Linked DNA regions of Oryctolagus cuniculus. The protein of the gene in region 2 purifies or fractionates together with the protein of the main gene of each other region. This does not show direct contact. Links are inferred from orthologs where the notes say so. Each region holds a gene or a part of one and is shown on either strand. Other genes may lie near its edges.

Region 1 (3,959 bases), on a different chromosome or scaffold from region 2:
GCTCAGGGCATCTGGATCCCCGATGGGGAGAATGTGAAAATCCCGGTGGCCATCAAAGTGTTGCGGGAAAACACATCCCCTAAAGCCAACAAAGAGATCCTGGACGTAAGCCCGTGCTCCCCTCACACCCTGGCTGTAGGGTGGGGCTCTGATCTTTCTGCACTGGTGTCTGGGGGGATGGGACTCCCAAACCTCAACTCAACACCCCCGTCTGTGGTCCGTGGCTGTTTTGTGATGGTTGGGGTTGGCAGGGTGAGGGTCCCCAGTCACGGGAGGCAGTTGGGGCTGGGGTCTTTGGTCTCTGACGATTTTTTGGCCCCCAGGAAGCATACGTGATGGCAGGGGTGGGCTCCCCCTATGTGTCCCGCCTCCTGGGCATCTGCTTGACGTCCACGGTGCAGCTGGTGACACAGCTGATGCCCTACGGCTGCCTCCTGGACCATGTCCGTGAACACCGCGGGCGCCTGGGCTCCCAGGACTTACTGAACTGGTGTGTGCAAATTGCCAAGGTATGCACTTAGGGGCAGGGCCTGGGCTCTGTGGGCCCCTGGGGAGCAAGCCCCTCTCTCCACAGGGCTAGGGTGGGTGCATTTCCCGGGCATGGGGCCAGTCCGAGCCCCACGCAGAGGCCCCACACCAGTGCCTCCCATTGCAGGGGATGAGCTACTTGGAAGACGTGCGGCTCGTGCACAGGGACCTGGCTGCACGGAACGTGCTGGTCAAGAGCCCCAACCACGTCAAGATCACAGACTTCGGGCTGGCTCGGCTGCTGGACATTGACGAGACAGAGTACCACGCGGACGGGGGCAAGGTCAGAGGCGCGAGCAAGCTGAGGCTGGGTGGGGTGGGGCCCAGCCCCAGGAGAATTCTGGGAACGGCAGCCTCCCGCCACATCCGATTGGAGGACTTCCTCCTCTGCCCTCCCAGGTGCCCATCAAGTGGATGGCGTTGGAGTCCATTCTCCGCCGGCGGTTCACCCACCAGAGTGATGTGTGGAGCTACGGTGCGTGGCGGTGGGGGGGGCGCTGGATGAGGACCTGTGCGGGTGCTGGGATGGGGAGGACTAGGAGGAACCTTAGTGGGTGCACGTGTGTGTCGTGGGGGAGGCAAGGGCTGCCCGGGCCCACTTTCTAGGCACTGAGGAAGGACCGGGTAGATCCGGACCCTCGACGTCACATCTCCAACTCGCATGGCGGTGCCAGGCTGCTGGGCAGAGCTGCAGGGCTCAGGACACTGACGCTCCCTCTGGTCCCCCGTCTCTGTCCTAGGGGTGACTGTGTGGGAGCTGATGACTTTTGGGGCCAAACCTTACGATGGGATCCCAGCCCGGGAAATCCCTGACCTGCTGGAGAAGGGGGAGCGGCTGCCCCAGCCCCCCATCTGCACCATCGACGTCTACATGATCATGGTCAAATGTGGGTGGCTGAGCTGGGCTGGCTGCCTGGAGGCGGGCTGGGAGGTCCTGGGTGGAGGGGCCCACGGGGGGGACTGGGAGGAGGCTGGGAACCAGATGTTAGTGGGCCCAGGGGATTTGGTATAGTTACAGGAGCCCCCAAAGCGTCTGGTATCCCTTCTATAGAAGTCTGGGGAGTTACATGCAAGTTAAGAGGGGAACCTAGAAGGGGTGCCCAGAGATCCTGGCTCCAGACCAGAGAGCCGGTCCCAGGCTGTCAGTCAGGGTTGTCTGGGCCAGGGGGGAGCTGGGTCGGGGTTCCCAGGGAGGCAGCCAGCACACTGGGGGGACCGGGACCGGGACCTGAGCTTGCTCCCGCCCCAGGTTGGATGATTGACTCGGAATGCCGGCCCAGATTCCGGGAGTTGGTGGCTGAATTCTCCCGCATGGCCAGGGACCCCCAGCGCTTTGTGGTCATCCAGGTACTGGGCCTTCCTGCCCTGTCCCGACCCACCTCTCCTGCAGGGGTTGGGGATGAGGACCCCGAGCCCAGCCCCCGCCTCTTGCCCTCTGTGAAGCCGGGCTGGGGAGGGGCTGCCACGCTGTGCCTGCCTCCTCCCCAGAATGAGGACCTGGGCCCCGCCAGCCCATTGGACAGCACCTTCTACCGCTCGCTGCTGGAGGATGACGACATGGGGGACCTGGTGGACGCTGAGGAGTACCTGGTGCCCCAGCAGGGCTTCTTCTGCCCAGACCCTGCTCCGGGCGCTGGGGGTACAGCCCACCGCAGGCACCGCAGCTCGTCCACCCGGGTCAGTGCCTCGGTCACACTGCGGGCTGTGCTTGCTCCCCTCTCCGCCCCAGGGAACCAAGTCCCCCTTGGATGTTCCCCCACCCCCTCCCTCATGGAGACCCCATTCTCCCTAGGGGCGACGCTTATTGCCCTCCAACCCGTGACCCCATCCTCTCTGTGGCGACTGTGTCATGCCCCGGGACCCAGTCACTTCTCATGGGGTGTCCACCCCAGGTCATGACCTTCTCTCCTGTCCCCAGAGTGGTGGCGGTGAGCTGCCGTTGGGGCTGGAGCCCACCGAAGAGGAGCCCCCCAGGTCTCCACTGGCCCCCTCAGAAGGGGCTGGCTCCGACGTATTCGATGGCGACCTGGGGATGGGGGCAGCCAAGGGGCTGCAGAGCCTCCCGCCACACGACCCCAACCCTCTGCAACGGTACAGTGAGGACCCCACAGGACCCCTGCCCCCGGACACTGACGGCTACGTTGCCCCCCTGACCTGCAGCCCCCAGCCCGGTATGGATTCCAGGCCTGAGTGGAGATCGGGTGGGCGGGGGATACGCTGGGGCCCCTGGGATCCTTTCCTGAGTCCTCTCTCGCCCTTTCAGAGTATGTGAACCAGCCAGAGGTCCGGCCGCAGCCCCCCTCGCCCCTGGAGGGCCCTGCACCGCCTGCCCGGCCAGCCGGGGCCACCCTGGAAAGGCCCAAGACTCTCTCCCCCGGGAAGAATGGGGTTGTCAAAGACGTTTTTGCCTTTGGGGGTGCCGTGGAGAACCCCGAGTACTTGGCACCCCGGGGAGGGGCTGCCCCTCAGCCCCACTCTCCTCCTGCCTTCAGCCCAGCCTTTGACAACCTCTATTATTGGGACCAGGACCCAGCAGAGCGGGGGTCCCCACCCAGCACCTTTGAAGGGACCCCTACGGCAGAGAACCCCGAGTACCTGGGCCTGGACGTGCCGGTGTGAGCCACAGGCCGAGCGTGCGGAAGCCCTGCTGTGCCCTCAGGGAGTGGGGAGCCCTGACTTCTGCCCACATCACAACGAGGCAAGGACAGGGCCCTGGACCACACCCCGGGCAGCCTGCGCCGTGCCAGGAGCCCGTGCTGAGGATCTCCCTGCCTGCTGAGTTCCAGTGGCTGAGAAGGGCCCGCCCTGGGAAGTGCTGGTGGACCCTGGAGCCCCGCACCGCCAGGTTCTAGGGTGCAGGGGGCCACAGCCACAGCCTCCTCACGCGAGGCAGCAGCTTGGCACCGAAGGGCTGAGCGAAGCTGGGCCCAGGAGGGGGGGCGTGTGCCAGACACGAGCCACCCATGCAGGCTCTCCCTCAGGCTCGGTGCTGCCCCCGGGAGAAGGGGCCGGCACCAGCAGCCAGACCCCATCCTTGTACAGAGTGCTTTTCTTGTTTTGTTTTTACTTGTTTTTTAAAAGATGAAATAAGGACCCAGGGAACAGGGGGAGTTGTATGGAGGAGGGGTCCTCCCTCCACACCCACTTTCTCCACTTGCAAATATATTTTGGAAAACAGCTGACACTAGCTCATGCCAGGGTGGGGGTGATACTCCGTGCCATCCCTGCAGCTCACCCAACAGTCAGCTCCTCTCTTCCTGGTGGGCGTGGCTGCAAGTCTTGAGAAAGCAAGGACCGACCAGGAGCCTGCTGTCCTGGAGCCTGGCTTTTGGATAGGGGGCATCGGAAAGTTGGGATTCTGATCCGAAGACCCTTTGACAACCCGATGATTCTTGCTTAGGACAAACTAACTGCTCAGGCCACTCCACCAG
Region 2 (4,348 bases):
CCGCTGAAGCGGGGAGGGGTGGCCCAGGTGGAGAAGGGGGGGAGAGCCCCTGTGTAAGGGGGGCTGGGGAGGAGCTGTCTGGGCTTCGGGAGTCTGAGGGAGGGGCACAGACAGAGACACACAGACAGGAGAGATAAAAAAAGAGAGAGAGAGAGAGAATGAGTGTTCCATCATCCAACTGAAGACTTTAATTCTCTAATCCCGCATCGCACCCAACCCACCCCATCCCGCTCCACACGCCCTAAATGTGATGAGCAGAGAGGGGGAAAATCCAATCAATGCATCTGAATGAAAACCAGGTCACCCAAGCCAGACCTGTCTCGCGGGTGGGGGCAGCACGTGGAGCGGCCACAGCGAGCGGGGGAAAGACACAGGCGGAAGAGACCCTTCCGAGGACGCAGGATGCGCCTTTAAACGTTTGCCCAGGGTTCTCAAGCCCAGGGGGAAGCGCGTTCTTCCCGCGCCCGGGCCCGCCCGCGTGCTGGGCCTCGAGCGGCCGCGGCCAGAAGGGCGGAAGCTCCCCCTCCCCGCCCCGCCCCGGGGGGAGGGCGCTGAGGCCCTCGGCGGGGAGAGGACGCGTGTTTACAAACAAGGGGGCGGGAGCGCCAGGGAACGAGCGCCGGAGGAGGGGGTGGGGTGGGGTTGCAGATAACGCGGTCACTGGCTCGCCCGCCCGTCCGCTAGGACACTCACCCCGCCCGCTGTCGCCCATCCCGTCCCGTCCAGCCTCCCCCGGCTCCGGCTCCGGGGTTTGTTGTTCTCCGGCTGCTACTGCCGCCGCCGCCGCCGCCGCCGCCGCCGGATCCAGCCAGGGCCGTCGCCGCCGCCACCGGGACGCGACCCCACAATGCATTTCTTTTCGCACCCCCACCGGCCCACACTGCCCTGCGGCATGCCGCTCGGGGAGGAAGGGCGGGCGAGCGGCCCAAGACATGGTCCCCGGCTGAGTGTAGGGATGAAGAGGAGGTGCCAGGGGCTCCCCAGGTGTGGTCGAGGGACTAACTGAGCACGAGTAAGTCCCAGAGGAAAAAGACTCTGGCCTGAACTGGATCGGATTAGGCGCTTCCCTCTTCTGTGTACCAAAATGACAGCGCCGATGTGGCAGCCATCTTTGTGCAAACGGGAAGTCTCGTCGCTAGTTCCCGCCCCCTCGTCTAGTTGGAAACGGAGGAGGCGGGCTCCTCTGGCGGGTTAGCACTCCTCGCCCGCCCTCCCCGCGAATAACCTCCACTCGTGCGCGTGCGCGTCAGGCCTGGGCGGCTTCGCGGCTGCCGGGGTGCTGGGTGCCGCCATATTGGTAAAGGTACCGGGGGAGCTTCCCTCTTCTCGCGGGAGCTGGAGGCGTGACTGCCACGTCCGAGCAAACCGCGAAAGGAGAGGACTCCGCAGCCGGTGAGAATTCCTGCCTTTCTCTGTGTCCCTTTCAGGCCTTTTCCCCATCTAGTGAGTCAGGGAGGAAGGGCCCAGAGAGACTGTAACGTGACACATGAAAGCCTAGAGCGGTGTCCTGGGGGGCCCTCCATCCGGGAGTGGTGTCGGAATAAAGAAGAACGAGCCTTGGGAACACTGTGGGGTGGGGGCAGAATGGAGTGGGGGAGCGGCCCATAGAGGTGGACGGAGGGCGCGAGCGGAATAAAACGGACCCCAGTAGGTCGAGTGAAGTCACTGTCTCTGTCCCTCTGGTCAGCGTGATGGCCAGAGGCCTGGGGGCCCCCCACTGGGTGGCCATGGGGCTGCTGACCTGGGCAGCCTTGGGTCTGCTGGTGGCTGGACACGGGGGTCATGGCGACCAGCACGAGGACCTGCAAGAGGACTTCCATGGCCACAGCCACAGGCATTCACATGAGGATTTCCACCATGGACACAGCCATGCCCATGGCCATGGCCACGGCCACGGCCACACTCACGAAAGCATCTGGCATGGGCATACCCACGGTCACGACCATGGACATTCACATGAGGATTTGCACCATGGCCATAGCCATTCCCATGGCCACTCCCATGAGAGCCTCTACCACAGAGGACATGGACATGACCATGAGCATAGCCGTGGAGGCTATGGGGAGTCTGGGGCTCCAGGCATCAAGCAGGACCTGGACACTGTCACTCTCTGGGCCTATGTGAGTCCCCAGGGGCCGGGGGAGAGAGGGGCTGGTTCTTGCTTGTTGGGAAACCACCCAGCGCTTGACCACCTGATTCTTCCCCACCAGGCACTGGGGGCCACAGTGCTGATATCTGCAGCGCCGTTTTTCTTCCTCTTCCTTATCCCTGTGGAGTCAAACTCCCCCCGCCATAGTTCTCTGCTGCAAATCTTGTTAAGCTTTGCTTCTGGCGGACTCCTGGGAGATGCTTTCCTGCACCTCATCCCTCATGCCTTGGGTAAGTTACCTCTGATTTTACCTTAAATATTAACCTATTCCATTCTTTGGGGAAAAGAGTGACCTTCCAGTATTCCCCCTTTGAGTCAGGTACCCCCTCATCTGTTGTTTTTTTTTTTGCTCCCCTCGTCCCCCGGCTTCCTCCAGAACCTCACTCTCACCACACGGTGGAGCAGCGCGGACATGGACACTCACACAGTGGTGAGGAAGAGACGGCCGAGACCTGGGTCGGAGTGCTGGGGAAGGTCTCCCTCCTCTGCACCTGCACTCGAGGAGGAGATGTCTGGAATCTGCGGCTCCCTTCATGTCCCAATGCTTCCTTCCCAGGCCAAGGCCCCATCCTGTCTGTGGGACTGTGGGTTCTCAGCGGAATTGTCGCTTTCCTTGTGGTGGAGAAGTTCGTGAGGCATGTGAAAGGAGGACATGGACACAGCCATGGGCACGGACACACTCACGGTCACGGTCACGGGAGTCACGGACGTGCGAGGCAGGGTGAGCCCTGGGCCAGCTTTCCTTAAAGCTACCCTGCCTGCCTCAGCGTCCTCACACCTTATGGCTGTCAGGCGGGAGGACGCGCCAGGAGACCCTGACCAACTCCCTTCTCCCTCAGAGTGCCCTCCAAAGGAGAAGCAGAGCTCAGAGGAAGAAGAAAAGGAAGGAGGGGTGTTGCGGAAGAGGAAAGGAGGAAGCACGGGGCCCAAAGATGGGTCAGTGGGAGCTCAGAACCCTGAGGAAGAAAAAACAGGCTCAGGTGAGGGTCGGGGTCGGGGAGAAGCCTGGGCAGGGGGACCATCGTGGCTCACACAGAATGTGTGTGTGGGTGATGACAGGCGTCAGGGAAACACCAAGGGGCTGGCAGTGGGTCACACAGAATACACGTGCAGGTGGTGACAGGTGTTGGGGAAACCCCAAGGGGTGAAGTGGTCTCTGAGCCGTGGTGTGAGAAGTCTGACTGGGATAGGGGCGATGGATGTTCTGGTCATTTTGTCTGCCTCTCCCGTACAGATCTGCGTGTGTCCGGGTACTTGAATCTGGCTGCTGACTTGGCACACAACTTCACAGATGGCCTGGCCATTGGTGCTTCCTTTCGAGGGGGCCAGGGGCTGGGGATTCTGACCACAATGACCGTCCTGCTGCATGAAGTGCCCCATGAGGTCGGGGATTTTGCCATCTTGGTCCAGTCTGGCTGCAGCAAAAAGCAGGTTGGTGGTGATGTCCATCAAAGACAGTGGTCTCAAATCCTTTATCACTGCTCGTTTACTCCCGACCCAGACTCCTTCTCATTAGTTCCAAACGAGTTGTACTGTCATCAACAGATCCGCTAGAGTTGAGGGGAGAAAAGCTCTGTTTTCTTTGTCCTATGCCTCAGTATTTCTTGAACTGTCAGATGATTTATGGGGACCTAACAAACACACACACATACACACTCATTGCTGCTGAATCAGACCTTAGAAAGTCTGTGGAAAGAACCTCTTTGAACCTTTAAGATTTTTGAAGAAATATTTATTCTAGACAAACCACACACCCCCTTTTTTCTTTGACTTTTGGTTTTCTACCCCTGTAGTTCAACAGCCATATATTGAAACTGCTATAACCTTTAGTTATTGATAAGTGCCTCTCTCTGCTTTCCACCAGGCGATGCGTCTACAACTACTGACAGCAGTGGGGGCACTGGCAGGCACAGCCTGTGCCCTTCTAACCGAAGGAGGGGCAGTGGGCAGTGATGGTGCGGGAGGCGCAGGTCCTGGCTGGATTCTGCCGTTCACCGCAGGCGGTTTTATCTATGTAGCAACAGTGTCCGTGTTGCCTGAGCTGTTGAGGGAGGCGTCACCATTACAGTCACTTCTGGAGGTGCTGGGGCTGCTGGGTGGTGTTGTCATGATGGTGCTGATTGCCCACCTCGAGTGAGAGGTGAGATGAACTGCCCCCACCCCCTGCTCTAAACCTCTTCCCCTAACTCCAGGTCAGAG
Region 3 (3,959 bases), on a different chromosome or scaffold from region 2:
TTCTTTTTATTTATTTTTTGTATGGATTAATACATGTACACAAGTAGGATATTCATTTAAATTGGATTGCAAACCTTAGCAATATTGTGGGTATGTGCACATGCACATATAAACACATATACCCATACTTACACATCGATACACATCATGCACTATTAAGAAAAGACTAACTTGGGGCAGGTATATGGCTGAGGAGCTAAGAAGCCACTTGGGGCACCTTCTCATACCTGACTGCCTGGTTTCAAGTCTCAAATCTGCTCCCAGTTTCAGCTTCCTGATAATACCCAGGGAGGCAGCAGGAGATGGCTCAATCATTTGGTCCCTATCAACAGCATGGGAGACCTGAATTGAATTTCTAGCGCCTTTCATTTACCTGGGTCAGGCCCAGCCACTGCAGGCGTTGAGTGAACCAGAAGATGGGGGATTTCTCTCTCTGTTTTGTGCTTCTCTCTGCCACTCAAATAAATAAAAAATAAAAGAAATTTTCAAGACCAAGTTATACTTCATGCTGCCTCATTTTTCTATTTCTGTTTTGCATTAACTCTTCCATTGGTTAGATTTCTAACTTTGAATACTGTGACTACAACCACTGTTTTCTCTTTCTTTATCTTTAACTTGATATATTGATAGATCTATAGTTAGTGACTGGTGGAGGTTATGTTAGTTTTTGTCCTGATTTAGTAATATTTTATATATTTCAGTCACCAAAACCAAGTGTTAGTATGTATTGCAAAAATTCCAATAGATCTGTTTGTGAGAAACATTTTCTTATGTGTAGCATTGAGGTTGTTGAATTGGAAGGAAATCAGGCCTTGACTTCAGGGTCATGGTTTTGGATCACTGAGCTGAAAATCACTAAGAACCTCAAACATATTTAAGAATCATCTTAATCAGTAGGACAATGTGCTAAAAAGTGGTTTTACAGTGGTGAATAAAACAGGCATGGTTGTTAACCTAGTGGAATTTAGTGGAAGAGACAGGGAAATGAATGCCCACATAAACATCATATGAATGCAAATGGAGATAAAGTACAAGCTATTTGAGAGCTAGAAAGAAGAGGTGCCAGGACAATTGGCAGAGAAGAAAATATTTCAGAAGACATTGATATCATACAAACATGTAGAAATAGGTTCTGTTTCAAGAATTATAGGTGATTTTAGTTGGTAAGTTTTTTTTATATTCCTGAAATATAACCATTCTGGTTTTAAGTGCCTCCTTTTTCAGGAACACAGGGATAGTTTATTTTTAATTTGCAAATAAGCTAACAATCACTTATATTAAAATATTTATTAACTTGTTCTTTTTTATAGGATGAGGAGAAGAAATCGAAAGACAAGAAGATATGGTGTTTTGGACACTAACATAGGAAACATGGAATTGACACCTTTAGAACAAGATGATGAGGATGAGGATAACACATTGTTTGATGCCAATCATCCTCGAAGGTAAGCGATCAGTAGTTTAGTTACACGAATCAGGAAGAAGAAAAGCATGGCAAATAAATTGAAGAAGTAAAACAGTTTTTATTCTAGCAGATTTTATCCAATTCTCTTTCATGAAGTCCTTTGTACTTACTTATCCAATACCTTATATTCGTGATACTGCACTGACATAAGTAAACAATAGAGTACCATCCCCTGAAGAAATCTCCATTGAAGATCTCACTGCAGCTTTGCTTTTTAACTTCTTCATCCCTGTGATATATATTAACTCATATGTGTGTGCCAGAGTGTGTGTGTGTGAAATGTTTAGCACACTTGACTTTCTTTTTGTATTCTGAAGATTTTGTTGTTGTTGTAGTTTGAGTTATTGTATTTACATGCAGTATTACTCAGCAGAATTATAGGGCTGATAGTTTATATGGTCTGATAATGAAGTTACATTGTTTACAATCAGATCTATGTTCCCTGAGTGTTAAGACCTTTTCTAAGTGGTTTGGAGAAACATAATTACATGGATAGAGAATTAATTCCAATGTAAACAGAGTCAGGGAAAAGAGGCAACAAAGATTCCAGTCAATAAGGAAAGACTTGTTAGGTAAAGGAAAATTAGAGTCCATTATCAAGTATAAATACAAACAATACAGAAATCCTGAGATTACAAACAACAACAATGATATTAAATTAGATATATATGTATATATGTACATATATATATACAAGTAATGTATTATCACTATTGCTAAAGCAATGTACATATACAGAGATATATAGATATATATGTTTATAGAATATATGTTTAATTTTATTTTTAAAATAGTTTCAGTACATATATTTGTATATATATATATGTATAAAGGAGCTTTTATGATTGCTGGTAATTCATTCATTTAATAAAATATAATAATTGTGAAGTGCCAATTATGCAATTATAAGCATTCGAGCCTTGGTAAGCAACCTGAACAAACAGCTGTATCTGTTCCTAAGGGACTCAGTTTCTTAGCGAAAACACACATGAATAAGATGCATAAATTAAAAAATTTATAACATTTGATTTTATGCCCTGGAAAAAAATAATTGTCTATAACTTTTGTATGGTTTTAAGTAAGTGTAATATTACCAGTTGTTGACTGTGTTTTAGGAGTGAACCAGATAAAACTGCTGATTTGAATTTAAGAACATTGTATGTAGCAGACATTTATCTTTCTGTGTTAGAATTACAGGAAGAATAATGTGGAGAACAATTGAAAACTGAGCTTGACTGGGAGAATAGCACATGATGTATCTCATCTTGGGTTCACTGTGAGAATGTGCTTATTTAGCAGGATGGCAGTGGAATCTGATCACTTGTATATTACAATTACTAATTTAAATTTTTGATAAAGATACTGTATTAAGGCATCTCCTATTTATATACATAGAAAAGAAAGAAAAGGAAGTTATTAATCTAGGAACTCAGCATTGTCACCAAAGAAGAATTGAATTTGAACCCCAGTCCATATATTTCTAACATGGCTGATTACAAACAAAGATTGTTTTAGACAGAAGCAACCACCCACATTTTAATAGTTGTGAAAGGTGATACTTTGGGGAATTCAAGCCACTTAGATTATCTAAAACACAATTTGTTGTGTGAACTTATGTATTTATATATGTGAGATTGGGAGGTAGGAGAATCCAAAAAGAATTGGAACAGGTAGGTTCAAAAATGCTAGCAGTTTCCATGAGATATAATTACTTATGACTATCTTTCATTCTGTATCCTGACTCATCACAGGCCTTCCCCCATTACTTATTCTTCTTTTGTGCCCCATGTTTCATAAATTGCGCATTCCATTAGGGATCTAAACACTACTCAGTTACATCAATAATGAAGCATTAAGCATAAGGTGGTATGAGAACATTTGGAGGGTACATAGGACACTTCACCAAGAAAGTGATGTTTAAACTGAGAACTGAAAGATGACTAGAAATTAGCAATGTGAAAGTCAATATAGGGGCAAGGTTTGGAGACAGGAGAGACACAAAGTATTGGGATAAAGAGAATATAGAGAATTCAAAGAACTAAAAGAAATTAAATAGATGCTATATCAATTTTTGTGTGAATAAATCACTTATTTTTGATTTCTGGATACAGAAGATTGATTGATACATAAGGCAGAACAAGGAGTCAGAAGGCGAATCATGTGGTGGTGATGTCGGGAAAATAACAGACTAAGATGTCCCAGCTCATCTCTCCTCATAAAAGCAATGGTATAGCAGCAATCTACCTATTAAAGTAACTATGGGAGGGCCGGTGCCGCGGCTCAATAGGCTAATCTTCCACCTGCGGCGCTGGCACACCGGGTTCTAGTCCCGGTCGGGGTGCCAGATTCTGTCCTGGTTGCTCCTCTTCCAGTCCAGCTCTCTGCTGTGGCCCGGAAGTGTAGTGGAGAATGGCCCAAGTGCTTGGGCCCTGCACCTGACCCGCATGGGAGACCAGGAGAAGCTCCTGGCTCCCGGCTTCGGATCAGCGTGGTG

Evidence for each region. The genes of interacting proteins can lie anywhere in the genome.
Region 1: the proteins of SLC39A7 (region 2) and ERBB2 purify together in Homo sapiens (affinity purification with mass spectrometry; 3 studies listed by BioGRID and IntAct, with this or other methods). This does not show direct contact. The link is inferred for Oryctolagus cuniculus from reciprocal best matches to the Homo sapiens genes SLC39A7 and ERBB2.
Region 3: the proteins of SLC39A7 (region 2) and FAM174A purify together in Homo sapiens (co-immunoprecipitation; 3 studies listed by BioGRID and IntAct, with this or other methods). This does not show direct contact. The link is inferred for Oryctolagus cuniculus from reciprocal best matches to the Homo sapiens genes SLC39A7 and FAM174A.

The regions. Positions count from the first base shown.
Region 1 is NC_091448.1:22,670,694-22,674,652, reverse strand, and holds the end of ERBB2 (receptor tyrosine-protein kinase erbB-2), read left to right. Parts: intron 1-6; coding exon 7-105; intron 106-323; coding exon 324-509; intron 510-655; coding exon 656-811; intron 812-927; coding exon 928-1,003; intron 1,004-1,268; coding exon 1,269-1,415; intron 1,416-1,777; coding exon 1,778-1,875; intron 1,876-2,016; coding exon 2,017-2,205; intron 2,206-2,446; coding exon 2,447-2,699; intron 2,700-2,791; coding exon 2,792-3,147; 3' UTR 3,148-3,705; downstream 3,706-3,959. UniProt on the Homo sapiens protein: Protein tyrosine kinase that is part of several cell surface receptor complexes, but that apparently needs a coreceptor for ligand binding. Essential component of a neuregulin-receptor complex, although neuregulins do not interact with it alone.
Region 2 is NC_091436.1:135,903,453-135,907,800, reverse strand, and holds the start of SLC39A7 (zinc transporter SLC39A7), read left to right. Parts: upstream 1-1,224; 5' UTR 1,225-1,392; intron 1,393-1,687; 5' UTR 1,688-1,691; coding exon 1,692-2,120; intron 2,121-2,210; coding exon 2,211-2,379; intron 2,380-2,525; coding exon 2,526-2,579; intron 2,580-2,705; coding exon 2,706-2,870; intron 2,871-2,988; coding exon 2,989-3,129; intron 3,130-3,383; coding exon 3,384-3,580; intron 3,581-4,013; coding exon 4,014-4,286; 3' UTR 4,287-4,348. Other genes in the region: RXRB (retinoic acid receptor RXR-beta), read right to left, coding at 1-93, 694-934. UniProt on the Homo sapiens protein: Transports Zn(2+) from the endoplasmic reticulum (ER)/Golgi apparatus to the cytosol, playing an essential role in the regulation of cytosolic zinc levels.
Region 3 is NC_091445.1:23,050,225-23,054,183, forward strand, and holds part of FAM174A (membrane protein FAM174A), read left to right. Parts: intron 1-1,310; coding exon 1,311-1,445; coding exon of another isoform or gene 1,446-1,449; intron 1,450-3,959.